Linked DNA regions of Alligator mississippiensis. The protein of the gene in region 1 binds, or shares a complex with, the protein of each later gene. Links are inferred from orthologs where the notes say so. Each region holds a gene or a part of one and is shown in the gene's direction. Other genes may lie near its edges. The genes, in order: THOC2, THOC3, THOC6 and THOC5.

Evidence for each region.
Region 2: the proteins of THOC2 (region 1) and THOC3 are in contact, whole or in part, in a cryo-EM structure (PDB 7ZNL), measured with the Homo sapiens proteins. The link is inferred for Alligator mississippiensis from reciprocal best matches to the Homo sapiens genes THOC2 and THOC3. Residues at the interface, in NP_001075019.1 of Homo sapiens: Tyr395, Arg396, Pro401, Lys402, Gly403, Ala404, Lys405, Gly406, Ser407, Pro446, Ile447, Ala450, Arg454, Cys500, Asn501, Ala502, Cys503, Met504, Glu506, Pro563, Arg566, Gln567, Lys570, His573, Tyr603, Leu604, Thr605; in NP_115737.1 of Homo sapiens: Asp193, Met196, Ile208, Val217, Gln218, Asn221, Ala222, Pro224, Ser225, Ala244, Asp245, Ala246, Leu247, Ser249, Trp251, Asp252, Asp254, Glu255, Leu256, Val257, Cys258, Val259, Cys261, Ser263, Leu265, Asp266, Pro268.
Region 3: THOC2 (region 1) and THOC6 share a complex: the UniProt entries of both Homo sapiens proteins name them as parts of the transcription/export (TREX) complex. The link is inferred for Alligator mississippiensis from reciprocal best matches to the Homo sapiens genes THOC2 and THOC6.
Region 4: THOC2 (region 1) and THOC5 share a complex: the UniProt entries of both Homo sapiens proteins name them as parts of the transcription/export (TREX) complex. The link is inferred for Alligator mississippiensis from reciprocal best matches to the Homo sapiens genes THOC2 and THOC5.

Annotation. Positions count from the first base shown.
Region 1 is NC_081831.1:71,266,936-71,274,871, forward strand, and holds the start of THOC2 (THO complex subunit 2), read left to right. Parts: upstream 1-4,936; 5' UTR 4,937-4,973; coding exon 4,974-5,044; intron 5,045-7,936. UniProt on the Homo sapiens protein: Component of the THO subcomplex of the TREX complex which is thought to couple mRNA transcription, processing and nuclear export, and which specifically associates with spliced mRNA and not with unspliced pre-mRNA.
Region 2 is NC_081832.1:79,133,505-79,141,492, reverse strand, and holds the start of THOC3 (THO complex subunit 3), read left to right. Parts: upstream 1-4,988; 5' UTR 4,989-5,377; coding exon 5,378-5,560; intron 5,561-5,902; coding exon 5,903-6,059; intron 6,060-6,764; coding exon 6,765-6,969; intron 6,970-7,258; coding exon 7,259-7,420; intron 7,421-7,509; coding exon 7,510-7,610; intron 7,611-7,988. Other genes in the region: SIMC1 (SUMO-interacting motif-containing protein 1), read right to left, coding at 162-290, 767-946, 1,244-1,389, 1,583-1,655, 2,120-2,337, 2,450-3,013, 3,568-3,783. UniProt on the Homo sapiens protein: Component of the THO subcomplex of the TREX complex which is thought to couple mRNA transcription, processing and nuclear export, and which specifically associates with spliced mRNA and not with unspliced pre-mRNA.
Region 3 is NC_081830.1:644,667-652,312, reverse strand, and holds the start of THOC6 (THO complex subunit 6 homolog), read left to right. Parts: upstream 1-4,646; 5' UTR 4,647-4,724; intron 4,725-4,928; 5' UTR 4,929-5,029; coding exon 5,030-5,044; intron 5,045-5,329; coding exon 5,330-5,445; intron 5,446-5,518; coding exon 5,519-5,583; intron 5,584-5,723; coding exon 5,724-5,827; intron 5,828-5,901; coding exon 5,902-5,939; intron 5,940-6,050; coding exon 6,051-6,099; intron 6,100-6,193; coding exon 6,194-6,265; intron 6,266-6,993; coding exon 6,994-7,096; intron 7,097-7,182; coding exon 7,183-7,232; intron 7,233-7,329; coding exon 7,330-7,392; intron 7,393-7,646. Other genes in the region: BICDL2 (BICD family-like cargo adapter 2), read left to right, coding at 353-514, 1,035-1,118, 1,251-1,381, 1,688-1,808, 1,969-2,103; HCFC1R1 (host cell factor C1 regulator 1), read right to left, coding at 2,726-2,831, 2,930-2,998, 3,865-3,996, 4,087-4,262. UniProt on the Homo sapiens protein: Component of the THO subcomplex of the TREX complex which is thought to couple mRNA transcription, processing and nuclear export, and which specifically associates with spliced mRNA and not with unspliced pre-mRNA.
Region 4 is NC_081833.1:26,651,350-26,659,106, reverse strand, and holds the start of THOC5 (THO complex subunit 5 homolog), read left to right. Parts: upstream 1-4,757; 5' UTR 4,758-4,851; intron 4,852-4,978; coding exon 4,979-5,074; intron 5,075-6,012; coding exon 6,013-6,156; intron 6,157-7,286; coding exon 7,287-7,400; intron 7,401-7,757. Other genes in the region: NIPSNAP1 (protein NipSnap homolog 1), read left to right, coding at 1-38, 453-517. UniProt on the Homo sapiens protein: Component of the THO subcomplex of the TREX complex which is thought to couple mRNA transcription, processing and nuclear export, and which specifically associates with spliced mRNA and not with unspliced pre-mRNA.

The DNA of each region.
Region 1 (7,936 bases):
TTAACTCATTAGCTAGTGCAGCTACAGTCTCTTTGCACTGTTGCCAGCGTAAAACCCCGGGCAACTCTTTTTTGGTTACCCTTCCAGGTTTGGCTGGGGCTGGTCAGTATTGCCTGTGCTCAGCCTCCCTCATGTTACTGAGACTTTCCCTGGTTTTCTCTTCTTCTTTTCTCACGCTGCCGCTCCCTGCCGGTAATTGATCGGTTTGCGGCTGCGCTCATTAAGCCCTGCTTCCCGATTCCCTCCTCAGGGTTGGTTTCGAGGCCTCACAGTTCATCAGCCTTCCTATAAAGAAACATAAAACAAAGAGCTCCCCCCTTTGATAGGGAAGTTATTGTAGCCTTCAATTAAAGCTAGCCATTTAATAATTTTACTTTTTGCCATTTTTTATCCCAAACATCCAATGATAGGCTAGATAGCTTATAGCTAGGGTACCAGCAGCCCTTAATGAATGTGGGAGCTGGCAATTTTTCAATCACTTCTACCCACTAGGCACCTGGAGTTCGACCGTGCCATTGATTCCTGAATATATTACCCCCTGCTGTACTAGTTGAGGTTTTTTGTCTGTTAACTTTAAATCCTGTATCTTGAATAATTTATAATAGTGCACAGATGACTTCATAAATTCTTGCATGGGTCCATGAATTAAAACATCATCTACATAGGGTATAACTGCAGTTTAGTATTGATCGGGCAACTGTTCCCACATTTCAGCTTATTTTTAGCCTACCCCTTTGGGTGCTGGCTGGCTAACATTTTTTAACATCCCCTGTTCAGTCCCAAGGCAACTCCAAAACCTGATTTATTTTAAAGGCTGCACACTGTTGCCCCTGAAGAATTACATGTAGATTAATTATTTTTTGCTTCCCTGTAAAAATAAATGTCTTGGTTTGGTAAAGGCATTTTGGTTTCCTTCTCATTGAATCCTTTAATACTATATTTGCCTTCCAGAATTGGAAAGGGGAGGTCTCATTACTTATAGGAAAAGAAGCACCTGTACTTACTAACACATCTTGCCCAGGGGTTTTTTTGTTTTTTTCCCCTTTGCACAGTATAACAAGCATTTTACTAACTCAATTGTTGGAAGGCCATGGATTTTTCCTTTTGTGTAATGTTACATGGGAAATGCATTTTAGCCTGCAAAACAAAATTAAGAAACTGCCAGGGCAGATGCCTCACTTAACATCTGGTTATAATTATTAGGGTTTTGCCCCGTTTTCAAGCCTTTGATTGTGATGTGTGGACCCATTTCAATTTGATTTCCTTTCTCTTTGACTGTATTTTAATTTGATATACAGTAGGACTAGCCTTATTTACAATTATGGCAGGTCCAGCCCTGATGGAGCACAATACATGGTTTTTTCCCCCAGTAAGCCTGGTACATGACCAGGGCACCAACTTTCCATTTGACAGGTTTTCAAGTGGCCCAAATTGTCTGTCCATCTGATTACATTTTACCTTTAAAGCTTGGGCATCTGCATTTTTTTCTGCCAGTCATGGCTTAGTAGGGAGTGATTTCATGGGCAACTGTTGTTTTTGTTGCAAAGCCCTAATCTTTGTCAATCTTTGTCTTGTTGGCTTACTACTTTTCTTAGAGCCAATTTTTAAAGTGCGGTTTGCCCTTTTCACTTGTTCTGGCCACAGGAGAAACCCTCCCCCGTTTGGCAGCAAGGGACCCCTCCCCCCCGATTGCTGACTGTCCACTGGGGGTGGTAAGTGCCCCCCCAACTCAGAAGGCACCAGGCGCCCATGGACTGAGGTGAGGCTGACTGGTCTGTAGTTCCCCAGATTCTCCTTCTGCCCTTTCTTAAAGATGGGTACTATATTTGCCTTCTTTTAATTGTCTGGGACCTCTCCCAATCATCATGAGTTTTCTAAGATGATGGCCAGTGGCTCTACAATCGTATCAACCAGCTCCCTCGGCACCCTTGTGTGCATCGCGTCCAGCCCCATGGTCTTGTACAAGTCCAGCTTTTCTGATTAGTCCCTAACTTGTTCTTTCACCACTGTTGGGTGCTCACCTTCTCCTCAAACTTTGTTACCAGGTGCAGCAGTCTGGGAGCTGATCTTGTCTATAAAGACAGAGGTAAAAAAGATATTAAGTACTTCAGCCTTTTCCACATCATCTGCCTCAGTCATTAAGGGACCCACAGTTTCCCTGATCTTCCTCTTGTTGCTGACATACTTGTAGAAACCCTTCTTGTTACCCTTCACGTCCCTTGCTAGCTGCAACTCCAATTGCACGTTGGCCTTCCTGTTTTCATCCTTGCATACCCAAGCAATACTCTTATACTCCTCCCTAGTTGTTTGTCCAAGTTCCCACTCCTTGTAAGCTTTCTTTTTGTGTTTTAGCTCACTGAAGAGTTCCCTGCTAAGCCAAGCTGTTCTTTTGCCATGCTTGCTAGTCCTTCCTGCGCATTGGGTTCCTTCAGGTTTCTTTAAAGTACAACCAACTCTCTTGGACTCCTTTCCCCATCAGACTGGCCTCCCAGGGATCCTGCCCATTAGTTCCTGAAGTGAGTCAAAGTCTGCTTTTTTGAAGTCCAGGGTCCATACACTGCTAATCTCCTTCCTTCCTTTCCTCAGGATCCTCAACTCAGTCATCTCGTGGTTGCTGCTGCCCAAATTGACATTTACTTCTACATCCCTCACCAATTTTTCTGTGTTTGTGAGCAGTAGGTCAAGAAGAGCATAGCCCCTAGTTGGCCTCTTCTGCACTTGCACCTGGATATTGTCCTCAACACTCTCCAAAAACTTCCTGAATTGCCTGCGCACTGCTGTACGCACTCCCAGCAGGTGTCGGAGTAATTGAAGTCCCCCATAAGAACCAGGGTCTGTGATTGGGAAACTTCCGCTAGCTGTTTGAAGCAAGTCTCATGCATTTCATCCTCCTTGTCAGGTGATCTATAGCAGATACCCAACGTGACATCATCCTTGTTGCTCTTCCTTCTGTCCCTAACCCAGAGACTTTCAACAGGCCTAACTTCAGTTTCATACCGGAGCTCTGAGAAATCATACAGTTCTTTTATACAAAACGCAACTCCTCCTCCTCTTCTCCCCTGCCTGTCCTTCCTGAACGGTTTGTACCCATTCGTGACAGTGCTCCAGTCATGCGCGCTTCCACCAAGTCTCTGTTATTCCAGTCAGGTCATCGTTCCATGATTGTGCAAGGATTTCAGTGAAAGTACATAGGTTATACTGCATTAGAAAAAGAATTGTGTAAGAAATCATGAAAGTGGCCACATAAAAATAAGCTTGAAATGTATGCATTTAGTTCAGCTTTTTAAAAAACTGGCACATCCACTAGTAATAAATAATTGACAAGTTTTGCATAAACAAGAATTTCCTAATGTTCAGCATTACTGTCAACTTCAGGACACTTTTGTAAAATGCAGCTGAAAAAATCTGAAAGTGACGTTTTTTCTGTTCACCAAATTGATTTCTAATTTTTCAGGCACAAATCAATGGCGTACATGACCAATCCTATTTTTGGCAAGTCATATCTAAAATCAGCAGTGACAGCACATGTAAGGAATGCAAAGAGCTCCTAGTGCAATAAAGAGAAGCACAGGCAACATTGCTGATTAATATTTACCACTTCCATGTGTTTTCCCTGGGAGTGACTGAGATTTAAAAATCAAACCTCAAAAAAACAAAGCTAAAAGTTTATTGTTTAATGCTCAGATCTTGTCTTGTCCTTCAGGGCGCTACGTTTGCAACAGGACTTCCACCATGAGTCTTTATAATTTGCAAAACAGTCATTACAGGCAACCTCCGCTTAGCGCTGTTTATTGGTTCCCGAAAAACCAAGCGTTAAGCGAAACCGAACGTATTTGATGACCCACGACCACAATTGTTTTTAATGACCCGAGATGGTGACCGTGAGCATTATAACGAAACTCACTGAGTGCTAAGTGAAATCAGGTATCAATTTAAAATGAACATTATAGTGAAATAGCACTAAGCGAAAGTGTGAAGTGGGGGTTGCCGCAAGTCATTCGATTGGGAACACGGGCCCACACAGCAGCGGTTAATCCGGTGGCGATGTGTAGGGGTGCATCCCCTGACCGGCTGCACTCTCGGTGTAGGTGACAGGCAAGCGGGGCAGGCGGGAGCGTTGGTGCTCCCCCTGCGGGCGCCAGCTCGGGAGTGGGAGCGCTGTGGCCGCTTCCTGGTCAGTGTGATCGGCCGTGGGGGACCCCCCCATTGGTGAGATTGGCCGTGGGAGGACTCCCCCCCATTGCTGACTGGTCCCTGGGGGGGCACTTGCCCCCTAACTAAGGTGGCACCAGTCGCCCATGGGCTAATTAACCTTCCCCATTAGTAGGGGGGCTATTGGGTAGTGTTAATTGAATGAATGGGATGAACAGACAAAAGAGGGAGGGGAAGGAGGTCGATGGCTCAGAAGGGGTGCCCCGAAGGGCTGGGCAGTGGGAAGGCGCACGCCGGCCACCTTGCAAGCGACCCCGAGGAGCCGGCGGACGCGGCCCGGGGAAACCGGCTGGAGCTGACCAGGGACAAGAAAACGCCCCCCCGTCCCCAGGGGGCCTCTGGCCAGAGCCGCCATCCTGGTCAAGCAGCCCGCGAGCCTAGGCCACCACGGGTCACGACAAGCCCGGGCGGCCGTCAAGCTAGTCCGTTGATCCGAAACCGGACGCCTGTACAAACTCTGCTTTTCTCGTCAAGAGAAACCGGACGCCTCTATTTTTCCTCTTGAAGAAAAATCCCCCCTCCCCCCGCTGGAAAGATCATAGCATCCAACTGAAAAGACGCCGCCGTCACTCGCATCTCGGCCGCACTTCGGAGGCGGGAACACCACGGCACGAGCGCGGGGCTCGAACCCGCGGCATTGGCGGGGAGGCGGGAGCGGCGGCTCCCGGCGTGCCCCGCGCGCGCTTCCCGGCGTGCCCCGCGGCCGGCCTCTGACCCCGGCCGTCGCTGCCCATCCGGGCTCTCGGCGCCACACGGGGAAGATGGCGGCGGCGGCGGCGGCGCTCCCTGCCGACTGGATAAAGAACTGGGAGAAAGCGGGCAAGAGCGAGTTGTGAGTGCGGGCCGCTGCCTCCCCTGCGCGGCCGGGCTCCCCGGCTCCTCTCCGCCCCTCCCCGGCAGCGGCCTCTGCCCTTGTGCCGAGGCCAGCGGAGCTGCGCGGGGCGGGGGCGCCCGGATATCGCAGCTGCGTTTCATTGTGTTTCTGAGCAGCCCCCTGGTGTCACCACCCGGACCAGACGCTCGCGGCCAAACGCGCGCGGCTCTTTTTAGGAAGCCCCTTGCCCCCCTTCCCCCTCGCCCCCGGCTTGCTTCTCTGCCCGCCCCCGCCTGCCCCCCAGGTGAGGGGAAGGGGGCGCGGCTGGCTCGCCCTGCCTCCATTTTGGAGGGGGGAGGAGTAGCCTGGTCGTCAGGTCCCTGCATTGTGCGAGTCCTGGTCCCGTCCAAACTTTTTTTGTTTTGGGGAGACCAAAAAACTAGACGAGGGAGAAATCGTAGGTCTCTGGCAGCACTCGGAGTCTAAAGCGACGCTAAAGTTCAAATTACTTTTTAGCTTCCCCTGTTTTGGATTACGTCTTGACAGCTGAATTCATAATCAGATTGAGCCGGATTATGTCCTGGGGTAGATAGGTTTGCGGCCCTTTTGTTACAGATCGCTTATGTTCTGCTGTCGGTGGAGGAGAAAAGTGGATAGAGAGATGCTTACGAATGGGTATAGCCCACCTGGTTGCATAAAAAGCGTAGATGTAGATATACTTACACTTTAAATCTGCTGTTCCCAAACTCTGACAGCACACCACCGATTTAAAACAATACAACCTTAAGTACCACCCAGCACATTTTTCAGTTCGACCTTAAGTACCACAAGCAAAGTTTCGTCGTATTTCTATAAAATACATATTATGATATAATTATAGTACATCTCTTAATGCGTACCATATAGATAAAAACGCATGTTATAATATGAAGTAAATATGAAGTAATTATAGTACATCTCTTAATGCGTACCATATATAAAAAATGCATGTTAAAATATGAAGTAATTATAGTACATCTCTTAATGCGTACCATATATAAAAAATGCATGTTAAAATATGAAGTAATTATAGTACATCTGTTAACATGTACCGCTGACGGGTTGTCTGCTATGTACCACACATTGGGAACTGCTGCTTTAAGTCATCCATTTGAGTTAGGAGCTGTTTCATATGACTCGATATTGAGCTAACTGACTTGACGTGATCATATCTTCATTATAATTATTTTAAGATTGTGCATCAGTTGAATTTTCAGCAGTTGCTGTTGAAGAGATCAGGTTAGCCCGGCCTTTGCCTACTGAAGAGCTCAAATTGTAGGCCATTTGTTTAACACACACTAGTTTGTCTTAACTTTTTAAAATGTACTCTAACCTAACCCTTGGTACTTGCAGATAACATGTATACAAGATTTTGGTCCATTCACGATGATATACCAGTTTAACTGGGACAGCGTTTAAACTGTGTTTAAATTTTGTTTGGCAACTGTGTTTAAGGACTCCTTTAAAAAAGACCCCTTAAACTGAAAGTGATCTCTGATTATCTGTGTGCTTGGGTAATGAGGTTGTACAACATAGTTTCATCCAGTGTTTTAAACGTGTGTAAAACTTTTTTTAAAGTGAAAAAAGACAATCAAATATTTGTGAAGATTCAGTGAACAATGAAAAAGTCTGGTTTTGTTTAAAGTCTTTACCAAGTGATTTCAGAAACTGCTATCATTTTGAAACACTGATTTACCACCTCTGCTAACAAAATTAATTATTGAATGTGTTGACACTCCAAAATAAAATAATACTAGAGATGAAGGATTAGTAACTCAATCAGTTTTCCAAATGCAGTTCTATTTTATTTCTATTTGAAGACATGATTTCAGCTTTAAAAGAGCTTGCAGCTTAAATTTAAGGCTCCTAAATTGCACTGCACTGCTTTTGCTCTCTTTTCAGTTAAAAGTTTGCTCGTAAAGGGTGGATGGCATGTGAAATTTTGAGGGTCAATATGATGGTTCAAAACATTCGGGAACCACTGACTGAATTAAATTAAATTGTGTAACGGTAGGAAAAAGAGAGAGGTATAACAAGGATTAACCTTACAATTCTAGCAGGTAAAGTTAAGTGACAGATCTTTAGTTTATTTTTTTAAGAGGAGGCTTTTAGTTTCCAAGCAGTTTGGAATTCTGTATTTAAACATGATGAGACCTCTCACAAGAAATGCAAAATATCAGCCTTTACTTAACGAAAAACCAGAAATGAACAAGATGACCAAGAGTTGGTCAACAGGAAGAAAAGCTGAGGGTAGACAGGACAATTTTAATTGCTTGTCTGTAGGGTAGCATATGAAGTCTGACAAAATCAGTTTGAAATGGTATGTTAGTGAAGTTATTAGTTATCTAAATATGTTACTTCATATGCTGTAAATTGGTGACCTTAATTGCTAAACTGAAGCAGGGTGAACAGTTCGTCTTGCTTAGTGTTTTGACTGTGACCACTTCTTGTTGATTCTGTCTCTTTGCTTGCTTTCCATAACTTCTAGCAAGGAGGTAGTAGTCAGTTAGTTATTCTTTGAAACTGAGTGGGGGTTGGTGCTTTCTCATATATAACATTGAATAAAAGGGTAGGGATCTGTTATGCTCTAGATCTAGAACTTATATGTTGATGGCTCTTATAACATTATCTTAGCTTCTACAGCTACAAAAACTTTTGTTTTTAACTTGTTTTGATAAGCAAAAATGCCAAATGTGACAATGGAGCGTTCTAATACGCTCCAAAATGCAGCACCTGTAAACTGTTTTGAACTATATAATCACCTATAAATTTTGTATATTTTAAAGAAAAGTAATATTAACTTTAGCACTGACATCAGGTAACTGATGATAACAATTCTGGACGTATCTGTGGATTGTCGCTATTTAGCGT
Region 2 (7,988 bases), on another chromosome or scaffold:
GGGAAGAGGAGGCTGCAGGCAGCTCTGAACCTGGGCATGCTTATCCCTCTGCTGTTGTGCAGGTCAGCATCACCCCCCCGGTGCCACTGGCCCCTTCCCCTGCCCCACCCGTCGCTGGGCCAGCCTCGCTGGGAGTGGTGTGGGGGCCGGGCAGCGCTCACCTCTGGCTCCGCAGTGGGATGTTCAGCACAGAGGGGAAGATGGCGTCAGCGATCTTGCGGGCGCTGCAGTTGGGTGAGCGGTCCACCTCCACCGCGATGGACAGCAGCCGCTGCAGCAGTAGCACCACCCTACACCAGGGATGTCAGTCAGGCGGGCAGGGAGGGGCAGCTGTGGGGTCCTGTGCCCCCCTCCCCTAGAGCCTGGGGGTGAAGCCGACACTACCCTGACCTGCATTGGCTGCGGGGGGCACGGCCCAGCATCCAGGAGCCTCGGCTCTGTCCTGTGAGAAGCCGCTGCCGTGCCTGGCACCGCTGGAGGTACAACCAGGGCCTGAGGGCTGGGGGAGACCCTTCCTGCTTGGAGGGGAGGCTCAGATGAGCTTGTGCCCTCCCTGCCCTGGGCTGCCAGCCACAACTGACCCCCAGCCACACTGGGTTCCCCTCTGGGGCTGGGCAGGCTCCCCGCTGCACCAGGGCCCCTTCTGTCTGGGGGCGGGGGCTGCAGTGTCCGTAAAGATAACAGCCCCTGGGGCAGCCTGAGATGCCTCCAAGCTCCCACCGGCGTAACACCCCCACCCCAAAGAGCCCAGCCTGCCCCATCTTACTTCTCAGCCAGGAACTCCGGCGGGACATCCTCCCTCGGCTCCGTGGGGCTCGGCGTGGGTGAGCGGCTGCTGTGCTGGAGCCCGGAGGCACCCGAGGCGGGAGGCGCTGCGTTCTGCTGCTCCAGGGGTCTGCAGAATCCGACGCCGGTGACGGCAGCCACCAGCCACCCGATCACCTCCCTGCGGGGGCACGGCTCAGAGCGATTTGTAGGTGGCCACATGGGCTGCTCCTGTGAGCTGGGGGTCCAGCGCTGTGTGGGTTCCCCCATGCCCAGCAGTGCCCTGCCAAGCAGCTGCTTGGATAACCTGCTCTGGCTGGCCTGCAAGGCATGTCTTCCAGCTGGGTTGTGGTTGATTTCTCCCCCCCACTCCGAACTCCTGTGTAGGGATCCCTGCACCCCAAGCTCTCGCTCTCGGCCCGCAGGAGGTGCCGGCCTATGCTTGCAGCACCCAGCCCAGTGCGTGGGGGCTCCTTACTTGATGTTGCCGAAGCTCTGGTCGCAGGACAGCACCTGCTTGGCGATGGTCAAGGAGGGGCGCTGCAGCCGCAGGCCCAGCTGGACATCGTCCTCCAGTGTCTGCACCACGTACTGCAGGAACAGCAGGCGCCCGGGAGGCTTCTCCTGAGGGGGATGGGACAGTGGGATTGGGGGCCTGCCCAGGGCACCAGCGTGGCTGCACCCCGCCGCCCTGCCCTGCCCCGCCCCGCCCCGTGGATGCAGGACGCAGCCACGCTCTGCCTGTCCTCCCGCCGGCCAGCTGCTTCCCCTCCCCAGCAAGAGCCCAGCCCTGGAGGGAAGGGATGCTGGGCCCTACCTCGTCTTCCATGATGTGTCTGAGTAGCCGCCAGTCCCAGCCCATGCCCGTCGTGGTGCTGGCCGGATGGAGCCTAAAGCAGAGGGTGAGTCCGTGACGGCCCCGAGCTGCGTGGGGGAGCACAGAGCTACCTCTGCGCCTGCCCCCTCTCTGCTTCCCTGGGGCTGTGCAGATGGCCTGGCTGTGGGAGGGCATGGATGCTGCCAGCTCCTGACGCAGCAGAGCCTTGGAAATACTCTTCCCCGAACAGGGCTGCAGCACAGGCTCGAGGCAGCTGCAGCGTCTCTTCCCCCAACGGCAGCCCCTTTCGGGGAGCCCGGACGGCCCCATCCCGGACCCTGGTGCCGGACGTATACCTAGGCTCTGCCTACACACGTGGTTGCTGGACGGGACTCCTGGCCATTGGAGCCCCCTTGCTGCTGGCTCCTATTGCCAATGGCCTGGGGGCCCCTGCTAAGGACACCTCCCTTCCCTGGGAGCGGCAAGTGCCGGGGGCTCCTGGACCAGCCGGGAGCCGAGGGCAGCAATGTCACATACGTCTGGATCTTCATGAGCAGCGTGTAGGCATCCTTGAGGATCCCCCAGCGGTGCGGGCCCAGCAGGATCTCCTGGACCAGGTGGGCCGTGATCTTGCAGGGCGGGTAGTGCTGGGGCGTCACGAAGTCAGTCAGGAACTGCAGCGTGCCCTCAGGGAAGCTCTCCTCCATCGTGGTCTGCACCAGGTCCAGCTTCCGGCTCGGGATGGGCCACGTCCTCTGCCGGGACAGCGAGCCCTTGGTGTGGGGCAGGGAGCGGGGTGGGAATGGGGATAAGGGCAGCCGGGGATGGAGAGAACCCGGATCCTGGACACCCCCCCCCCCCCATTACCTCCTGGCAGCGCTCGGCCCTGGCCACGCGCAGGAGGTGGTGCACGGGCATCCTCCGGAAGTACCGCAGCTTGTGCAGGCAGCTGGGGTCGGCCAGGCGCGGGGCGGGGGGCGCCGCGGGCTCCTGCTTCACGGCTGCCAGCGCGGGCGGGCTCGCTTCCAGCCGCGGCCGCTTCCTGGAGGGGCTCTTTGAGGTGGTAGCGGGGAGGGAGCGGGGGGGCGGGGAGCCGGGGTCCACGGATGCCCCCCAGCTGTCGCTGCTGGAGGGGGAGAGGGAGAAGCGGTTGGACTCGAGCAGGGGGCTGGCCAGGGAGCCCAGGTCGCTGTTGAAGGTGGTGGGGCTGCAGTCCGAGTCCGTGGAGCAGGCAGCTGTCTTCGCTTCATCCTTGGCGGCGGTGGAGAAGCCGGGCAGGGCCTCGGTCTCCATCCCGGCAGGTGGCGTCTGCACGGGGGCGCGCGCTGGGCTGGGCGGCTCCTCGTCTTCCCCGGTCAGGTCGATGACAACACTTCCGCCGCACGCTGCGGCCCCGCCGCACGCGTCCTCGCCCGTCAGGTCGATGATCTCCTGGGGAGGGAACGGGGTCAGTCGGGGCGGGGGGCCGCACGCCGCGCCCCCGCAGGGTCCTCCCGCCGGCTCGTGCCCAGGCTCTGTCCAACCCGCCCGTCCGCGCTGCTGCCACCTGCCTCGGCGCGGCGCCGGAGCCGGCTGTGCTGAGGGGTCGCGGCCTCGCCGCCCGCTGGAATCCCCGACGTTTGAAAGTGGCTTCAGAACCGAGGCGCCAACCGCCTTCCGCGGCCGCGCCCTGTCCCCGTCCCTGCAGCACGGCGTGGTGCGGCCGTCCCCAGCGCCCCCGGCCCCAGCCCGGTCGTGCCCCGCAGGGGCGGCACCGGCACCAGCGCCCGCGCCCCGCCCCCGAGCCTCGCACCTGCCGGGCAGCGCGCACGCACGTGCCGACGGGCAGCGCTGCCGCCAGGGGGCGCCGCAGCCGCGCACTACGCGGGGCCTGGCCCCTCGCGGCCCCCGTCGGAAGCGCCGCCATCTTTAGGACTGGCACACTTCCTGGGGCGCGGCTGAGAGGCCACCGCGGCCGCCGCCGCCGTGCCCGGACCGGGACTCACCGAGGGGCGCGGGCGCCGCAGCCGCCGCCGCCGGGCCCAGAGCCGCTTGCTGCGGCGCAGCGGGGCGCGGCCGCCCTCCGAGTCCGAGTCGCTGAGCAGGACGGGGCCTTCCGCCATCCCCGCACGCCCCGCGCCCGCGCCCAGGCCGCGCAGTCGAGCGCCGAGCGCGTCCTCCGCCGGGCACCGCCCCCCCGGCACAGCCCCCGCCCCCGGCATCGCCGCACCGCCGGGGGGTGGGAAAAGAGAGTATTTGGGAAGGAAAGGGAAATTTGAGGGGTGTTTGGGGGGAAGGGGGAGTTTCGGGGGTGTTTGGGGTAAAGGAGTTTGGAAGGGAGTTGGGGGGAAAGGGGGTGTTTGGGGGCAAACGGGGAGTTTGGGGGGAGTTTGGCGGGGGGAGGAGGGTGTTTGGGGGGAAAAGGGGAGTTTGAGGGTGTTTGTGGGGGGAGGGGGGTGTTTGGGGCGGGGGTCTCAGCGGGCCCTGTGGAAGAGCCCCTTGAAGCGAGGCTGGTGCCGGGCGGTGGGAGCGGGCTGCGGCGCCGCCCCGCTCGTGCGGCCTGAAGCAGCGGCGGGCTCGCGGGAGGGAGAGCGCAGGAGCTGCGGCAGCAGGACCCTGGCCCGGGCCCTCCGTGGATCTCCTCTACTGACCTCCTGGGCTGCCCGGGAGCCATCGGAGCGGTGCCGGCGGCTGCGCGCAGCCCCACCGAGCTGGCTGGTTGGTGGTGCAGGCCCCGCGCGGGGCTGCGCCCCCCCTCCGCCGCCAGCGCCGCGCCCCCCAGCACTAACCACAGCCCCTTCCTCGCGGGCCCTGCAGCAGCTGCAGGCAGAGGAAAGCGGCTGTAACCGCCTCGCACAGGAACAGCTCGGCTCGGGGCCAGGCCGCTCGTGGGCCCCCGCTCGCAGTGGGGAAGGGGCCTCGTGCCGCTCGGCGTGGCCCGGCCTACAATAACGCTCGTATCTTCACCCCGTGTGGACCTGCGATCAGTAATAATGAACGTGCTCAAAATGTGGGGTCATTTTTGGGACAGGTCGTTGACGTGGCACGTGCGAAACCCAAGCCGCTCGCGGGGGGTCTTAACCGACCTTTGGGTTTGCTGCCAGCCCTTTCTCAGGACCCCTTGCCTCGAAATAAAGAAATGCTTCAACTTTGACCCAGTTCGCACTGGCTCCTGGAGACCTCTATGAGCAGTGGGAAGTAAACTAGATTTATTTACATGCTTGTCCACCTGTTTGCTCAGTGAGGGTAGTTTTTCAGCAAATAGGATAATTTTGAGCTTCTGTATTTAAGGCCTGGCAACGCTGCTGCTCCTTCCTCCAGTGGCCGGGGGCCCTGGGGTGCGCGGCAGGCAGGGTGGGGGGTCCCTGCACCTAATCCCCATAGACATCCAGGGCACCCGCTGCAGCGCAGCCTCCCCCAGCGCCCCCAGGTCCGGCGGGGGGATCCGGACACTTCCCCCGTGCAGCCTGCGCGGCTCCCCGGGTCGGACGCTTGCAAGGAGGCAGACGAGGGTCTTTGGGTAGGTGTGAGATCTTTTATGAGTGCAATTAAATGGTTGGAAAAGTTGTTCTTGGCAAGCTTCCGGGCACACCCGCCCTTCTCGGGGCACGGGCATCGCGGGGAAGGAGCTTTTATTTCCTTGGGCTCTGCCGGGCGTCCCGTCCTCGAGCTGGGAGCCATGTGCGGGGCGGAACCGGAAGTCGCCGCACGACTCCCGCCATTTCCCTTGGAAGTGGGTAGTGGGCGACCCGGAAGCGGGCAGGTGGGCGGCGCCCCGGAAGCGGTGCGGGTGACCCGGAAGCGGTGGCGGCCGCCATGGCGCTGTCCCCGTACGTGCTGGCGATGCAGGAGCTGTTCCGCGCCAACACGCGCAGCCGCGAGTTCCCGGCGCACGGCGCCAAGGTGCACTCGGTGGCCTGGAGCTGCTGCGGCCGCCGCCTCGCGTCCGGCTCCTTCGACAAGACGGCCAGCGTCTTCGTGCTGGAGAAGGACCGGCTGGTGCGGGGTGCAAGGGCGGGGCGGGGGGTGCGATGCAATGCGTGATGCGGATGTTGGGGTGAGCGGTGCGGTTGGGTACGGGGGTGCTGGGGCGGGGGCGGGGCGGATCCTGGTGCAGGGATGGGGGAGATGGTCCTTTTTAAGCATCCCTCCGTGGTCAGCGATTTCTGAGGGTCTCTAACGGGCTGGGGTGTCTTGGCTGGACGCTGCTGGTTCGTGTTTGAGACGTTCGTTGGCAGTCGTTGCACGTGGCCAAGCGCCAGCCTCACGCCACGGTGAAGGAGCGTGGCTGACCTGGAGGCGCGGGCCTGGCTGATGCCCGGCGTGGTCACCTCCCTCTAGGTGAAGGAGAACAATTACCGCGGCCATGGGGACAGCGTGGATCAGCTGTGCTGGCACCCCAGCAACCCGGACCTCTTTGTCACTGCGTCGGGGGACAAGACCATCCGTATCTGGGACGTCCGCACCACCAAGTGCATCGCCACGGTGAACACCAAAGGTGGGGCGCGGTCGGAGCACGCCTCTGCGGGGCCCAGCGTGAAGCAGAAAGCTCTGCAGGACGCTGCTCCAGCCTGAGCCGGAGGGCGGCCAAACGCAATCAGTGCTCCAGGCCGTCTCTCCTCTCCTCCCCTCCCCTCGTGTTTATCTGCGCCGGGTGCTGGTCTTCCATGGGGCTGGGCCGGGTTGAGCTGCATGGGCGCTAGTCAAACGGCAGACTATTTAGCATTGTTGCTGCCCTCGCGTGGCTGTAGGCACCGGGGATCCACGCTGTGGGAGATGAGTCTCTATCATCTGCTCATGTTTCTGATGCAGCTTTTTTCCCATGGCTGAAGCATATACAGAGGGTATCCGCGTGCGTATGCCTAAACCCTGGAAAAATGTTGCGTATGCATTTTTTTTCTTGCAAATATCACGAAGCGCTAAGCAACGTGCCAGCATCCCCGTGGCTGTGCAGAGAGGGCCGGGCTGGGCTGGCTGAGCGCTCGGAAGTACTTATTGTGGGCACTTTGCTCTGAGGCCAGAGTTCTGTTGGATCTAGTTCCCGTGACACACTTACCAGGCAGCACTAAGCAGCAGTAGTGGGTTTGCAGTGTAAACTTGGCTTCGGCCACATGAGAGCAGTTCGGAGTTGGTAGGGCAGGCGTGAGGCCCCCTGCGCTGCCCTAGCTCCTGGTTGGACTTGCCGCACTCTCCTCCCTTCCAGGGGAGAACATCAACATCTGCTGGAGCCCCGACGGCCAGACCATAGCGGTGGGGAACAAGGACGACGTGGTCACCTTCATCGACGCCAAGACCCACCGCTCCAAGGCTGAGGAGCAGTTCAAGTTTGAGGTGAACGAGATCTCTTGGAACAATGACAACAACATGTTCTTCCTGACCAACGGCAACGGCTGCATCAACATCCTCAGGTATGGCCCTGGCACAGCTTCCACCTTCCCCGGTCACAGGTAGATCCTCTAGTGCCCCTCAGCAGGAGCCCTCGGGCTCGCTGTCCTTGCATGGTTCCCTCCCCTGCGGCTGTGGCATCCTCACTGAACGAGGGAGCCTGGTTCCTGGTGGTATTGACCCCCAGCTGCTCGAGCCTGTGTGGCCTCACTGTGCTGACCAGGGTGCCCCTCTGCAGGCAGCACTTGCTGGCCCGTCCCCTGGACTCTGGACCCTGCTCACTTAAGCTGTGTCTTCCCTATCTGTGCACAGCTACCCAGAGCTGAAGCCCATCCAGTCCATCAATGCCCATCCTTCTAACTGCATCTGCATCAAATTTGACCCCATGGGGAAGTACTTTGCCACAGGAAGCGCAGACGCTCTCGTCAGCCTGTGGGATGTGGACGAGCTGGTGTGTGTGAGGTGCTTTTCCAGGTAGGTGCCCAGGCCCTGTGCCCGCTCTCTGCCCTCCCAGTACAGAGGTGGGAGAGCCCTCACCCCCCGTCTCATCCCCTCCCCTGCAGGCTGGACTGGCCCGTGAGAACACTGAGCTTCAGCCACGATGGGAAGATGCTGGCATCTGCCTCTGAGGATCACTTCATTGACATAGCGGAAGTGGAGACGGGTGAGTGTTCTTGCTCCCTCGGCCCTCTGAGGTGGCTGGCTCTTGTCATGGCTTAGGGCAGTGGTTCTCAGCCTTGTTAGATTTAAAGCCCTGCTTGGAAAATGCCCGCTCTGAGCTTTTTGACCATAGACAAAACAGAAGAGCAATCCTTTTGGTGCAAAGACCAGAGCAGGGCAGAATGGTTTTGACACTGGTTGCTGTTTTGAAATCTCTGGGTTTATCTTGGGAATCGCGTGTGCGTATCTAGCAGTGCTAACATGGCATGGCACCCATAAAAAGATCTCAAGGCACCCCAGATTGCTGTGCCACTCTGGTTGAGAGTCACTGGCTTTGGAGACTGGGGGTAGGAGGGAGGGGATTGGCAGGGCTGGGGACTGG
Region 3 (7,646 bases), on another chromosome or scaffold:
CTGTGGTTGTGAAACTTAGAACCCAATGCCCTTGATCTGGGTAGCAGCCAAAGGGCATCAGCCTTCATGGACCTAGAACATATGCCTTATGGGGGTTAAACAGAGATTATCTGGGAAACCATTAGCCTTCAGGAACCTAGAACCCACCTGTCCTGAGGTTGAACACAGGTGACTTGATGTCTGTTGGGACTGGAGAACCTAGAACCCACTCCCTTTTGTCTCGGTAGCCATCAAAAAGTCATTATGCCTTGACCTACAACCCACCCATTCTGGGGTGGAATACAGGTTACTTGGGGTCTGGTGCCCTGAAGGAACCTAGAACCCACCCCCTCTACCTTGACCCTCCCCATAGGCTGAATCATTGAGGGCAGAGGCGGAGGAGCTGCGTGGGGCAAACCGACGGCTCCGGCGCCGAATCCGGGCTGTCTCCGAGGAGCTGCAGTTCCAGTCAGCCGATAATGGCGTCTCCCTGAAGGCCGAGCTGGAGGGGACCCAGGGCCCCGAGCATCCCAAGGTGCAGGGACAAGGCCAAGGGTGGGGTTTGGGACCTAGAACCTGACCACCATTGGGTCTTTTAGCCTTGTGCGACCCAGAACCTTCTGCCCATCGGGTTTTTGGCCAGGAAAGACCTAACATCCTCTCACCATTGGCTCTTTAGGTGTTGATGGAACCCATTTGCCATTGGGCCTTTAGGCCTTGGTGAACCTAGAACCCCCCCAAATTGGGGTTTCTGAGTCTTGAAGAGCCTAGAACCCGTCAAGGATTGAGTTTTCTAAGCTTTGAGGGACCTAGAACCCACCCACCGCTGGGTCCTTTAGCCTCAAGGGACCTAGAACACTCCCACCATTGGGCCTTTAGGCTTTGAGGGACCTAGAACCCACCTACCCAGAGTCACCTGGCCTTGATGTACCTAGAACCCACCCAGCCAACCTTGTCCTTTGGCTCAGCCAATGTTGGGAGGGTTTTGGCCTCCATCAGGCCAATCCCACGAGGCCGCCAGGTTCTAGCCCCGCCCCCTCGCTGTACCCCCACAGGCTCCGGCACGGGACAGGTCTGAGGCGCTGCCCCAGGATGCACTGGAGGAGAAGGAAGTGGAGATCGAGCGGCTCCAAGATGAGGTGGGGGGGGTGTGGGGAAGGTAGGCGGTGTCATGGACATCTGGGTGGGGGGAACAGGGCCAGGAGGGGGAGGGTAAGACTGGCCCTGGCCCCACCCCCGCCCCTGGCTGACTCCACCTCCTCCCGTCCCAGCTGGCTGTGCAGCAGGGGGTGCTGCAGGCGGTACGGGAGGAGCTGGGGGCACAGCGGCGCCTCCTGCAGGAGAGGGACGGGGATGCGGCACTGAGGCAGGCACTGGCCCAACGCAACACTGCCATCGACAGGTCTGGCCCCGCCCCCCACAGACACCTGGTTCTCTGGGGTGGGACTAGTGGTTTGGGAGCCAGACAGCTGGGTTTTCCGTGGTGGGAGCAGGGGGGCTGGGAGCCTGGACACGTGGGTTCTCTGCAGTGCACGTAGGAGAACTAGGGGGTTTGGGAGCCTGGACACCCAGGTTCTTTAGGGTGGGGAGTGCGAGCAGGGGGGGCTGGGAGGCCAGATGCCTGGGTTCTCTGGGAAATGGGGGGGGGGACTAGGGGATTTAGGAGCCCAGACACCTGTGTTCCCCACCCTCTTCGCCTCCCCCACAGGCAGGGGGTGCTGGCGGAGACGCTGGAGCGGGTGACGCGGGAGCGCGATGCCCTGAGCCGCCAGGTCCTGGCTGCCGCCCACCAGAAGTGGGCGCTGTCCCGGGAGCTGGAGGCCTGGCAGGTAAATCGTGCGTGTCCCGCGGGCCTTTCCTGGGGGTCTCAGGGGCACCCGGAGGCCTGGGCTACCTCCCCAGGCAGGAGGGGGGCACCCTTAGGTGGGGCATGGGGAAGGGGGGGCTTGGATGCCTGGGTCCCCACCCACTGTGGCCCCTCCCCCCCAGGACGACATGCAGTTTGTGATTCACCGGCAGCTCCAGGCCCAGTGGCAGCAGGAGGCCGGGGCCCCGCCCCCTGTGCGCCGCGGCAACAGCGCCCCCCATGGCGGCCACTTCCTGTCCTTCTTCCGTCGCAGCTGACAGGCCAGGGAGCCGATAGGAGCCGGGAGCTGGGGCGCTGAAGGTTCACTTCGGCCTAACCCGTGGGCTCACTGCCCTCACTCTAGGCCTGGCTTTGGCCTGCCAGTGCCTCTGGGTCTCTTTCCCATACCAATGTTCTAGGTCCACCATGGGTTCTAGGTCACTCAATGCCCACTCTAGGCCTGGCTTTGGCTTCAGTGCCTGTACGCTAGGCCTGGGTTTGGCCTACCACACTCTCCCTCCCGTAAGCCTCTGGGTCGCATCTCTCTCTTGGTGGCTCACTATGATGTTCTAGGTGTTTCTACCATGGGTTCTAGGTCACTCAAGGCTCACTCTATACTTGGCTTTGGCCTATGTCTCACCTACAAGCCCCTCCCTCTGCTCCTGGGCCGGACGCCTGGGTTCCCTGGGAGGGGAGTGGGGCCTGGGTTCCCTCCCGTGTACATGCTCTGTGCCTCCGTTTCCCTCAATTCAATTAAAACCATCTTTATTCCCAATTTGCGCCCATTTCTCCTCCCCACCCCCCACCCCCAAGGCCTCCGATTGGCTAACATAATTTCCCCCATGCCATGCCCGATGCTGTACATACCCCCCCACCTCCACAGCACTGTCTGGAGGAAGCTCACAGCGCTGTAGCTTTGGGGGTCAAAGCCCCGGCCTGGAGCAGGGCCCAGATGCCGCGGGGGTCCTGGCTGCTGGGGGGGCTCCATAGCACCGCCTCTGTGGTCCTGTGGGGGGGGGGGAGCAGGGCAGCAGATTAGGAGGTTCTGGGGCAGTAAGGGGGGAGAGGGGTAATTAAACCCTCCAGCTGGAGGTAGGTACTCACAGGGCCATGGGGAACTCCCCGTCTAGGATCACAGTCTCCTCTTCCTCCTCCAGGGTGGCATCCTGGGGCCTGGAGTGGGGGGGGAGATGCGGCTGAGTCTGGTGTGTCATGGCCAAGCGTAATGAACAGAGACCTCTTCTCCCAGCCCCGGTATGCGAGATGCAGCTGAGTCTGGGGCGTGATGGCCAAGTGGAATGAATGGGGATCTAGCTCCCCCTCTTCCTCTACAGGATGCAGCTGAGTCTGGGGTGTAACAGCCCAGGAGAACAAACAGAGATCTGCCCTCACTCTAGCTATAGGCTGAGTCGGGCATAACCGCCACGAGGAACAACTAGAGAACTCTTTTCCTAACCCCTCTCCCCCCACTACGTGAGATGCAGCTGCAGCTGGGGTGTGACAGCCAAGTGGAACGAATGGGGATCGAGCTTCCCCTCCTCTTCCTCTTTAGGATGCAAATAAGTCTGGGGTGTAATGGCCCAGGGGAACAAACAGAGATCTCCCCTCACCCAATGGAAATGGGATGCAACTCAGTCTGGGGTGTAACAGCCAAGTGGACAGATAGGAATCTACCACCCCCTCCCCTTTTTGTATAGGATGTGGCTGAGTCTGGGGTGGCATGGCCCAGGGGAACGAATAAAGATCTTCCTTCCCTCACCCTATGTAAATGAGGTGCAGTTGAGTCTGGCGTGAAGCGGCCAAATGGAACAGAGAACTCTTTCCCTGCCCCCCCCTCCCCCCATGACATGCAGCTGAGTCTGGAGACTAACAGCCCAGGTGAATGGAGATCTCCCTTCTCCCTACGTATATGGGATGCGGCTGTGCCTGGGGTGTGACAGCCGAGCGGAACAAAGGGGCATCTCTGTCCTGCCCCGTGCCCCCTTCCCCCCGCCCTGTGATGCAGCTGAGTCTGGGGCAACACCTGGGGGGCCTCTCACCCACGCGGCAGGGGGCGGGGCCAGCGGGACGGGAAGCCGTTGCTGCCGTAGGCGTGGTCGTGGTCCAGGCTGAGGGTGTTGAAGCGAGCGGCCATCTTGTCCTCCGACAGGAAGTGCTTCCGGGTTGGCTCCCTGTGGTGACAAAGGCGGGAGGGCAGGTGAAGGCTCCCAGCATGCTTCGCTCCCGCCTTCCCACAGTGCCTTGCTCCCCCCCATACTCACGGCTCCTGCTTCTCGAGGCGCCGCTTGCAGGCCAGGGCAGCAGGGCGGGGCGTGGGTCGGCGGGGCAGTGCCGCGGCGGAGAAGCTCACCACCACTGGGGCCCGCCCCGCCCAGGGCATGCGGGCGGGGACTTCCTGGCTCCAGCAGCGGGGTTGGGGCAGGGCCGGGGGGTCCATCGGGGGGGCATTACCTGATTGGAGGAGGGAAAAGAGAGTCAGGCCAAGGAACTCCCATCATGCATTGTGGTTGGGGCGCCTCTGGAGCTGAATCATGCCAACTCCTGACTTCCCATGATGCCCTGGGGCCACTCAGGCCAAGCCCAGGCGCTCCCATGAACCCCCGGGGCTGAGCCACACCAACTGGAAGCTTCCCATGATGCCCTGGGGCAGTTCAGACCAAGCCTAAGCCCTCCCATGATCCTCTGGCTGGAGAGAGAATGAAGTGCAGGGGTGCTGAGGACAAAAGGGGTGTGGCCAAGTGACAAGGGGCAGGGCCTACCGCAGAGCACAGAGCGAGCATGCGCAGAACAGTCGGGCAGCAGGTGAAGTTCCGTTCTGCGCGTGCGCAGAGGCGAAGGCAGGTGGTGGAAAAGGAGGGGGAACCACTCCCGCCGGGCTCATGCGCAGAGCCCCGGGACCGTGAGCCTGCTCGCGGGGGGGGATGACAGTTGGGCTCGCGGGAAGTGGCGGGGAGGCGGGGCGCATGCGCACTGGGCACTCGCGGGTCTTATTTCGTGCTGTCGGGGCCTGAAGCCGGGAGGGGTGAGGTGGGGCCTTACCGGGTTCCGTTCCCCACGCTGCGCCTCCAGGGTCCCCCCCTTCTTCCCTTCCTTCTGACGTCAGGGTCGCGCGGCCTGCTGGGAGTAGGCGAAGGGGGAGGGGACCCAATCTGGCGCCGGCGTCGCGCGGATAACGTCATAGAGGCGCGACGCGGCGGCACGCTTATGGCGCCCCAGGAGGTGAGCGACAAAGAGCGTGGGGGCGCCCGGGGCGGCTCCCAGCATGCACCGCGCGGGTCCTGCCAAGCCCTGGGAGGTGTGAACCCAGCATGCACCCTCCCAGCATGCTTTGCTCCCTGTCCTGCCAACCCTGGGGTCTCCCAGCATGCCTTGTGCCCCCCCCATGCCAACCTGAGGCTTTCCCAGCCTCCCTTGCTCCGCACCTGGCCAGCCCGGGCATCTCCCAGCATGCCTAGCTCCCCTCCTCCCTCCCCCGCCTTCCCATCATGCCGTGCTGCCCCCCAGATGGACGTCCAGCGGGCCTTGGAGCTGCTCCACATGAGCGTCTTCTCCCAGAGCGTCTCGCCCTGCGGGAAGTACCTGGCAGCCGGCAACAGCTACGGGGAGATCGGCATCTTCAGGTACCCCAACCTGCCCCCAGCCCGCCCCGCGGGCACGCCCCCCAGCTCCCCTAACTGCCCTGTGCCCCCCCAGCCTGTCGGCGGCGCTGAGCGCGGAGGCCAAAGAGGAGAGCAAGAAGCCGGTGGTGTGTTTCACAGGTGGGTGTGAGGGGAGCGGCTCCCCACAATGCCCCGGGGCTGCTCACGCCAACCCGGCTCCTCCCCACAATGCCCCGGGGCTGCTTGTGCCAACCTGGGCCTTCCCACAATGCCCTGGGCCTGCCCCTCCCGCCCCGCAGCCCACGATGGTCCCGTCTACGCGCTGACCTCCACGGACCGGCAGCTCCTCAGCGCCAGCGACGGGGAACTCAAGGCCTGGAACTGGGCGGAGATCGTTAAGAAGGTAAGCCCCGCCCCTAGCCCCGCCCCTGATGCCCGGGTCCCCTGCGCTTCATCCCCCTCCACGTGTCCCCCCAGGGCTGCAAGGAAGCATGGAGCCGCCGGCCCCCTTATAGGTAAGCCCCACCCCAAGTGGGAGCGGCTTCACATTGGCCAGTGGGAAGAGAGCAAGAGGGCATGGCCTCCCCATGTGGCCACACCCCTTCTTTCCCCACATTTGCTTCCAGGAGTAGCCTGGAGGTGCCTGAAATCAACAGCCTGCAGTTGAACCTCAAGGTGAGTGTGGCCCTGGGCATTGTGGGATAGCCAGGGGGAGGGGCTAGCCTCCAAGCCCCGCCCCCTCCTGCCTGTGTCTCCTCTTCTCCAACAGGATAACAGCCTTCTGCTGGCTGGGGGCGACTGCACCGTGCACGCCATGGACCTGGAGACAGGGGTCTTCACCGTGAGTGGGGGCAGGGCTCTCGGCCATCCGTTCATCCCTCCGTCCATCCCCACAGACCTCCGTCCATCGCTAGGCCTTTCCCTCTTTCTGTGCGCGTGTCTACTGTTGGACTTCTTTGTTCATATCACCATACTTCTCCGTCCATCCATCCTTTCGTCTGTCACTAGAGTCCTGCATCTCCAGACTCATCCATCCCGCACTACACCCTCCCCATTCCATCTACTTGCTTGCCACCCGGCTTCATCCATCCGCCCATCACTGGCCTCCTCCATCTGTTCGCTGTTCGTCCATCCAGTCTGTCACTAGATCTCTCTATTCATTCCTGTCTCCATCCGCTCACCACTAGACTTTTCCATCCATTTCTTCGTGCGTTCATCGCTGGATTTCTCCGTCTGTCCTTCCATCCCTCACTAGACCCTCTCCATCTGTCCACCCATCCGCATATCACCAGACTTCTTCATCCCTCTTTCCTTCTTTCCACCCATCGCTAATCTTGTCTGTTTGTCCGTTCTTCATCTCTCCCCGTATACGTTCGCCTCTACATTTATCTGTCGCTAGATCTCCCCATCCATCCATCCATAGGCTCTCCCATCTGTTTCTTCATCTATCTGTCATTACATTTCTCCACCAATCCATCTGTAACTAGACTCATCCATCCACCCCTAGACCCACCTATCCATCCATCCCTAGATCCCGTCCCGCTCACCCGCTCTCCCCCACCTTCCCAGCATGCCCTGCGGGGCCACACCGACTACATCCACTGCCTGGCACTGAGGGACCAGTTCCACGAGTGCCTCTCGGGCAGCGAGGACGGGTCTGTCCGTCACTGGGGTAAGTCCCGCCCCTTTCCCCACCCCTGCCCCGCCTTTGCTGAGACCCTGCAGGGCTCGTGACACCCACTCCCCACCACCCCGCAGATCTCCGCACCGGGGGGCAGGTACAAGCCATCGAGGTGCACAAGTATGAGGTGAGAACCCAGACATCCGGGCTGCCAGCACCCCTGCTGGGGAACCCAGGTGTCCAGGCTCTGACCTGGCCTTCTCTGCCTCTTCCCCCACCCCCAGGAGTGCAGCCGGCCCCAGTATGGGAAGTGGATCCGTTGCCTGGCGACAGACTCCGATTGGATGGTGAGAGGGCAGGGGAGACCTTTGGAGCGAGGGTATCCCATAGTGCCTTGGGTTTAGCTGTGGTGGCCAAAGCAGGGTATCCCAGAATGCTTTGCTTGCAAGCATGGCTGCCTACAGTGATATACCCTAACAAGGTTGGGCAAGGTACCCCATAACGTCCTAGGACCCAGGCATGGCTGACTGCGGGAATATTCCACAATGCCTTGGGTCCCCATCATGGCTGATCACTGGAATATCCCACAGTGTCTTGCTAC
Region 4 (7,757 bases), on another chromosome or scaffold:
GAGGAAACGGGGCTGGGATGAGAATGTGTATTACACAGGTGGGCCTTGTTCTTTTGCGTAGCTGGTGGTGGGCGCCAAGTAGCCACAAGTTTTAACTCCCACATCCCTGGGCCAAAGCCAGTTTCCAGCTAGGATCAGAAAGCAATTCTGTGGTTCAGAATTTATACCTTCCTATGAAGTGTTAAGCATTAACTGCTCTTTGCCAGAGATCGGGTACTCAGTTGATGTGACAGCCACTACCACCTCTGTAATCAGCACTGTTCTTCATCTCCTGGCAGAGACTGGGACCAGAGTGAATGTGTCGCATATAAATGATTTTTCAGTGCCTGCTAGTGGGACAGACTGGAATAGCTCTGAGCTCACTAGTTACTTGTGGGTAGTTGGTAGAAAATGCCCTGTGCCCAGGGCTGTCATGTACATTGATAGTTGCTTTTTGTGATTTTTTTTTTCAGTGCCCCTTGTTCGGAACATGGAGTCTCGAATCATGATTCCCCTGAAGATCTCTCCCCTCCAGTGACCCTCCACCCTGCCCCTGCGTGTTCTCCCTCCAGCACTGGATTCAAATGGACAAGAGCACATGGCCTGTTGGGATCTCTCTGCACTTCTCCTAAAGGAGCAGGCTTCTCTCTTCCTCTTGGCACTACCTATCCCCTTAGTCCATACACCTGCCTGGTCTTGGGGCTTGGTTGCATTACAAACTCTGCTGGTAGATAGCAGCCACCAGAGCATGTTCTCACCCATGCAGCTTCATGTGACTACATATAGCTCCATGGCAGCAGCTGTGCCAGCAGGACACCCAGAGTACCCTGGGCAGGATCAGTTGTTAACAGGGCTGCAGCAGATGACAAAGTGCAGACAACTCTACACCCACTTCCTGACAACTTTCCTGTGGTAGCAGTTGCTTGCCTTTGGTTGCAGAGCTAATGACTCCTGCCATCACAGGAGAGCTAGGAGTGTGGATGCACTCATGGCTCTTCCAGGAGAGCTGCAATGTAGTCCAGGCCTTGGGCTGCTTCTGTCTGCTGGGAGCTGTGGGTCATGCTAGCACATGGCTGCACGTTGCTCCCCAGCTCTGGGTCCCCAGCTGTGAACAAATGAATGTTCTGGAGCCCAAATTCCCCTTTTGCAGATAGAAATGAGCATAGCTGATCTATGCCACCTGCAGAAGGCATGATATGGATACCCAGCTGCTCTCTGGGTGAAGAGACTGGGTTCAGTCCTTCTGCCCAACCCTCCAGCAAGTCATTCCACCCCACCCCCTTCCACCACAGAGAGGGAATAATCTCTTCCTTGCCTCTGGGAGTGATCCTCTATCATGCTTCCTCTTTGTGTCTGCCACCATGACTTTCCACCCTTGGCTAGCCTGCTGCAGGCAAGAAGCCTGCCCCCGAGCAAGATACCCTGGCATTCTGCTCTGGTGGAAGCATGGGCAAGCTTGTATGGGGAGAAGGAATCTCTCCTGTCTAATGATGAGGCCATCCGTCCCCTTGAGCTATCTCCTTCATCTGCAGAGCAGGTGTAGGTTGAAAAGATTCTCTGGAAATGATGCTGTATTCTACATCCAACCCTAATTCTCAGTGGCTCCTAGACTTAATAGACGGACCTTAACAGTACATATATTTCTATCCTGCTACTCAGCCTCAGCCTGATTCTAACTAAGAAGGGAGGGGGTGCTGGAATACTTAATTTTCCCCCTTCTGCCTTCCTAAGGTGCTGAACACACCTTTTTATGAGCTCAAGGGGAGCTGGGAGTGCTAGACACCCACCAGAATCAAGCCTTTAATTCAGGAATTAAAATGAAGCAGAGTTCCTCTTCCCCTCATATCATCCATGCAGCTGATCAGAGATTAGCTAACATTAGCACCTGCCTCCCAGAACTGCATAAGCTCAGTAGAAATGAAAGATACAAGCTGGGCTGTGTCAGCAGAACTGACTCTGGCTGGAAAAGACAAAGCACGAACCTGAAAGGAACATGTGGTGTTGATAGCCAGTAGTAACAATAATTGTGTAACTTGGACTAATGGTATTCAACCACAAAGCAGTAAAAAATTCATTTGCATTGGAAATGAAAGCCCCTGAATGCCTGCCTGCCAGTGCTGCATCTTCCACTGGACTGCAGTGGAGGTGAATTTGAGGGTCTGTATCTCAGTGCAATCACTGGTACTGGGAGCAAATGCCCTTGCTCCCTGGGCATTTATATGTCTATGTGAGTGAGCAAGGGGAGTTGGAACACATGGAGAGGCAGCTGTCATTCAAGAGGCGCCTATCAGACAGATGTCAGTTCCTCTAGCACGTTTATGGTAATTGCAACTAATGGGCAAGTTACGGGCATTTATTTTGTGTCAAGCATTTTCCTGGAAGGAACTTGTACAAGTCTAATTGCAAATGTAATTAAATATTTAATATGCTAACATCAGTCTTGCATTTGGAAGGAGTCTCATGTACCTCTGTTGGGTGGGGCCTTTCAGGCCTTTATCAGTTTGCTCTACAGGTTCAGTTATGGCAGCTGGTAGAATCCAGACTTGGCTTGTCTTTATTACCAAGAAGTAACAAGATCAGCTCAAACAACTTCTTAGGCCCCCAGCATGACTGCCGTCTCTACAAGAGTGTGTTACACGTTACAGGTAACCTTGCAGGCTGGTTACTGATATAAGAGACAGAAACAGGTCTACAGCTGACCTTTTATTTGCTTTTACTTCAAAATACAAAAACAAACATTTAACCCAAAGTCTATTTGGTCACCTGTGACTCTAGAGGTGGGAGGGCAGCACACAGATTGGCAGCAGGTCTTGAATGTGCTGAGTTCTCTATATTTCCCTCCAGCCTAGACCCCCATATTTACTTACCTGGCAGGGGAAATACCATGAGCACTAAGGTGGCAGGGGACAGTACCCTGACCAAGCAGCTGCCTTAGAAATGGCTTTGTGTAGTGGAGGGTGAACCCTTGTCTGCTTGCAGATGGGACTCCCTACGAGAGCCTCATAGTTAGCTTCCCACTGGCCAGCTTCCAGTGGGAGGATCTCGGCTACACGACAACTTTATGGAAATGGGAAACTCCACCCTAGCTTGCTCCTACAGCCATATGGCTGAGGGCAAACTAAACTTGGGGGCATCCGAACCCCAAGTCCGGGCTTGGGCCTGCATGTAGGACGCCTACCAAAGGATTTGGAAGTTTCTGAAGCCCCAGGCTGGAGTGGAGGATATTTGCCAGTAGCAGGGCCACATACAGTTTCTGGATGATTCAAAAGGATTGAACGTGATCTGGCTAATTTGACCTCAGACACGAATAATTTTCCTTTAAAAAAAAAAGTGTGTGTGTGTGTGTAGATGGCTGGATCTAATATTGCAAAAAATGACCTTTGATTTGGTTTTAAATCTGTTTTACTGAAACTTTGGAACTGAACTGAACCAGATCTCTTGTGGACTTGGAAGTGCCAACTGGGATTCATATCCTTGGGAAAGTAAAAGATGGGGTTTCTTACCTCTTTCCTTCCCCATTATGGAATGGTGTTCAACACTATTCCGTTTTTACTTCAGCTTATAGTCTCCTCTGACAATGCTGTTTTGTTTTTACAAATTATCTAAGCACCTTAACAAAAATATATCTATTATAGCAAAATAGCATCTAATACATTTGGTTACATCAATCACTACTACTACTATTTTAAGATAAAGCTATGATACTATATGTGGATTATTTAATTCATGGTCTTCCCTTATAACCTCTCTTTTCAGGCCTCGTGCTTTGTTTCATTGATGTTGATGGTTTCCTTTTACTTTGCTGACCAAGCTAGTTGTCATAGCTGAAAAGGTTTACGTTAGTCCCACAGAAAACAGGGTTTGGGGACTTCTGCTTAGCCCCAGTTCTGCAGCTTGGCCTAAGCCCCTGAAAACTGGCAACCAGACCCTACTACCTGTGTGGGCTTCAGGTGAAGGCCCCAGTCCAGGTACCAGCTCCCCCAGAGCCAACGCTGGACAGGCATGAGACCAGGTGTGCTCAACACCCAGTACATGGAGCAGTGCTGTGTGCTCATGAGACAACACTAGCTTTTAGTGACGGGCCATTACTGGAGGAGGCGTGATTGCTTAGGGACAGGAAGAGGTAAGGCCCAGGGAGACCGAGCTGGGCAGCAGGAATTTCAAAGGATAAGACTTGTTGCAAGAGGGGCAGGGCAATGGGCAGCCCTGGGGAATGGCTGCTGGTGTTGCCCTTCTCCATACCCCGCCAGGCACAGGCCAGCAGTGTCAAGCATGAGAAGATGGTGGCCCAGCTGGCAGCAGTGTTGCCCCAGATGCCTCAATCCGACTTCTGAGCAAAGATGCCAGCAGTTGGCAAGGTGGGGGGAGGAGGCCTTGCCCAGTAGGGTCATCTGCCAGGTTGAGAGTGGGAAGGGCCCGCGTCCTGCCCCTTCCTTCACTCCCGGACGTGCTGAGGGGAGCAAAGCCTCATAGTTGCAGTGGACGGAGGCATTAGGCCCATTTCACAGACAGGCAAGCTGAGGCCCTGGGGGCGGAGGCGAAGCCAGGGCGAACCCAGCAGCCCCACACCCTTTGGGGGGCACGGGGGTGACGGGAGGCAGCTCACCGGGCCTCCCCCAGCGCTGCGCGGGGCTGCGGGAGCTCGCGGCCGTGTGCCCGTGCCCGGCGCTAGGACCCCGCGCTGAAGGGGCCTGGCCCAGACGCGGGCGATCGCGGCGCGGGCGGTGACGCTCCCCAGGGGAGACCGCGTCGGCGCAGGGTAGTAGGGGGCGCTCCCTCCTTCAACTGCCGGCTGCCCGGGCGGCCGCTCTAGCGTGTGCCTCGTCTGCTCCTGCACAGCCACTTCCGGTTGGAGCGGTGGCCGGGACGCAGGTGAGCGCGCTGCGGCGCCGCCCCTCCCCCCTTCCCCGCCGGCCGTGGAGCCGCACTCCGCCGGGGCCCGGTGCGTGGGGGCGGGGCTCGGTGAGCGGCGGCCGCTGACGCTTCCTCCCGCCCGCAGATGTCGTCGGACTCGAGTAAGAAGCGGAAGCCCAAGGTGATCCGCACGGACGGCGCCGCGCCCGACGGCAAGCGCAGCAAGGCGGACGCCGAGCAGGTACTGCGGGGCGGGGCCTCTCCGCCCCCAGCACGTCGGATCCGGGCCAGCCTGCGGCCCCTGCGCCGGGACGAGCAGCCTGAGCTTGCTTGGGTGCGGGGTGACCGGCCCTTTGCCGCGGGGCAGGGGCTGCCGCACTGCAGCTGGTGCTGGGAGCGGCCTTGGCGGGGCAGTAGCAGGCATCTGTCGGTTTTGAAAAGCAGTGGGGTTGCGCGGAGCGGGGCACCAGCTTGCTGGACGTGGCGGGGCCCTGCTCTGGAGTGACTGCCGCTTGCACCACGTACAGAGTTCAGTTCGTATCAAACCCTCCTGGATGCGGTGCTGGGTCTTCCTGATGCACTTGCCATCTTCAGCTTGTCAGCCCTTCCCCTCCAAAGCCTTTGTTTTGTGCTGGGCAGACTGTGCCTTTTACCTGCCAAAGGAGACTGGACACACTCCTTGCTGGGGTGGTTTGAGCCCAGCAGTCTTTCCTGCCCAGAGCGGGACCCGATGATCTCACGAGGTCCCTTCCAGCCCTAAACTTCTGTGAATCTATGTCCAGGCAGTTCAGTCCTCAGCAGTCTTCTCACAGTTGTTTGACTCTGTTTGTTGCTTTCATATCTCTCTGGCAAGCATCTCTGAACCTTTTACAAATGTTTTATTTGTTGCTCTTCTCTTCCCTTCCCTCCCCTCTTCCTTAGTTGTTTGATTGCCTAACTAGGACCTGTGCAGATCAGATGCTAATTTTAATGGGATTATGGGTGAGGCATGGATTTGCCAGGCTTGGATCTCCCGTGGAGTTTGCAGCACTAGCGGTTGGGTCACTGGTGCATAAAGCATTTGGATTCTGGAGTGGATGGAGTGAGGCTAAACATAAGGCCCACAATGTGATTTCTGCAGGACTCTTTCTGAGAAGGGAAGGGAATCCAGTTGAAACCTATTTTCTTGCTGTTTTACAGGATGTTAAGTACTATAGTGAAGAGACAGAGGTGGATCTAAGAGACCCTGGCAAAGACTATGAACTCTACAAGCAAACTTGCGAGGAGCTTCAGAGGCTCATGGCAGAAATCCAGGATCTGAAGAGTAAAGGCAGCAAAGACAGTGTAAGGAGAGACCTCTGGAGTACTGTGCTGGTGAAATGCTTGCTCACAACAAAACACTAAAATGGAAAGATTGAATAATTCATTGTAGTTAGGACAGAAAGTTTTAACCATATGAATCCAGCACTGTTTACTGCTCTCTGATGCTTTGAATTCCTGTGTAAAACAAATAGGTGCATTTTGCTCTGGTTCCTCCTAGACAGGGAATATCCCAGGTGGCTGACTGCTTCTGTTTGTGGCAATGCGGCTAGGAAGGCGGTATGAAGGCTGCAGGCCCCTTGTGCTCCCCTCATGTGGTAACTACCCATGTTGTGCCTGTTCTGATTCTTGTCCTAAATATAGCAACAGCTGTTAACCTGACAACAGAAAGGAGGTGCAAAAGTCACTGAGTGATATCTGTGATTGTAGGCAGTTGCAATGGAGTCACTTGTCCCAGATTTTATTCCATAGGATATTTATACCTTATTAAGTAGTGGACACATGACCAGGTCTCCCAGGTTAGTAGGTATGATTACGCTGTCAGTCACTAAGTGGCTCAGGTCAAATTAGAGCAAATGCTACCTTGCAATGAAATTGAGAACTGGAGAAGTGTGTGTAGTTTCCTACAGACACACACAGCTCTTGTAACTTGCATCAGTTACCCCTTGGAAAGTGAGGAATAACTTTTCCACACAGTAGTGTGACTTACGATGGTGTAAGGTTGTGTGTCTACATCTGGCCTTCAGGGAATCTTAGACCAACCTGTTTTATTGAACTAGAGTGTAAAACTGTCTCTGAATTAGGGATTCAATTACTGAAAGCTCTCATTAAAGCAGCACCCAGGGCCCTCTAGTGGGACTGAGTTCTGTCTTACATGCATGGAGAATTGTGGACTAAGGAATGGACACAATGAGGAGGACCTCTATTTATTTCTAACACTTGAACATTGAGACTGGGAAGGAGAGGGGGCCTGGCAGAAGCTCAGGGGATTGTTACCAGTGTTTTTCCTGTAAGATTCATCTCTGTAGCTCCCTGCTTGCTTTAGGTTCTTCTAACTAGCACAATAACCAACTAGCTCTGCAGTGGCTAGTTACTTACAAGAGCTGCTAGCAAGGAACTTTGTCCACATCAGACTCCCCGCTCTTGCCCTTCAGGCTGCTGAGATTGAGGAGCGGCGGATCCAGAGCTGTGTGCATTTCATGACTCTGAAGAAACTCAACCGTTTGGCTCACATCCGGCTGAAGAAGGGGAGAGATCAAACCCATGAGGTATGCTGAAGGCCACAGGCTGTGAAAGAAATGCAGAAGTGGATGGTGAAATGCTCAAGGAATATGGGTAATCCCTGCCTCTCAGGGATTGTGTGTGTGGGTGGATGAGTGGGTGATGGTGGTCATCATTGCCCAGTATCTTGCCAAAAGCTGGACTAGATTTAGTGGTCCTTGAGTTAGGCATACAAGGGAATTCCATTTCAGTGAATCGGGTGCTCTCATAACTACAGTGAATTGCAGAGAAACCGCACCTTCTTCATATCCTGAATGCAATTAAAGTCAAGAGGCTGCTATCTTGACAGCCTGATGTACAATAGTTCTGAGAAAATAGTAAAACCTGGCTCTTACAGGGCTTTT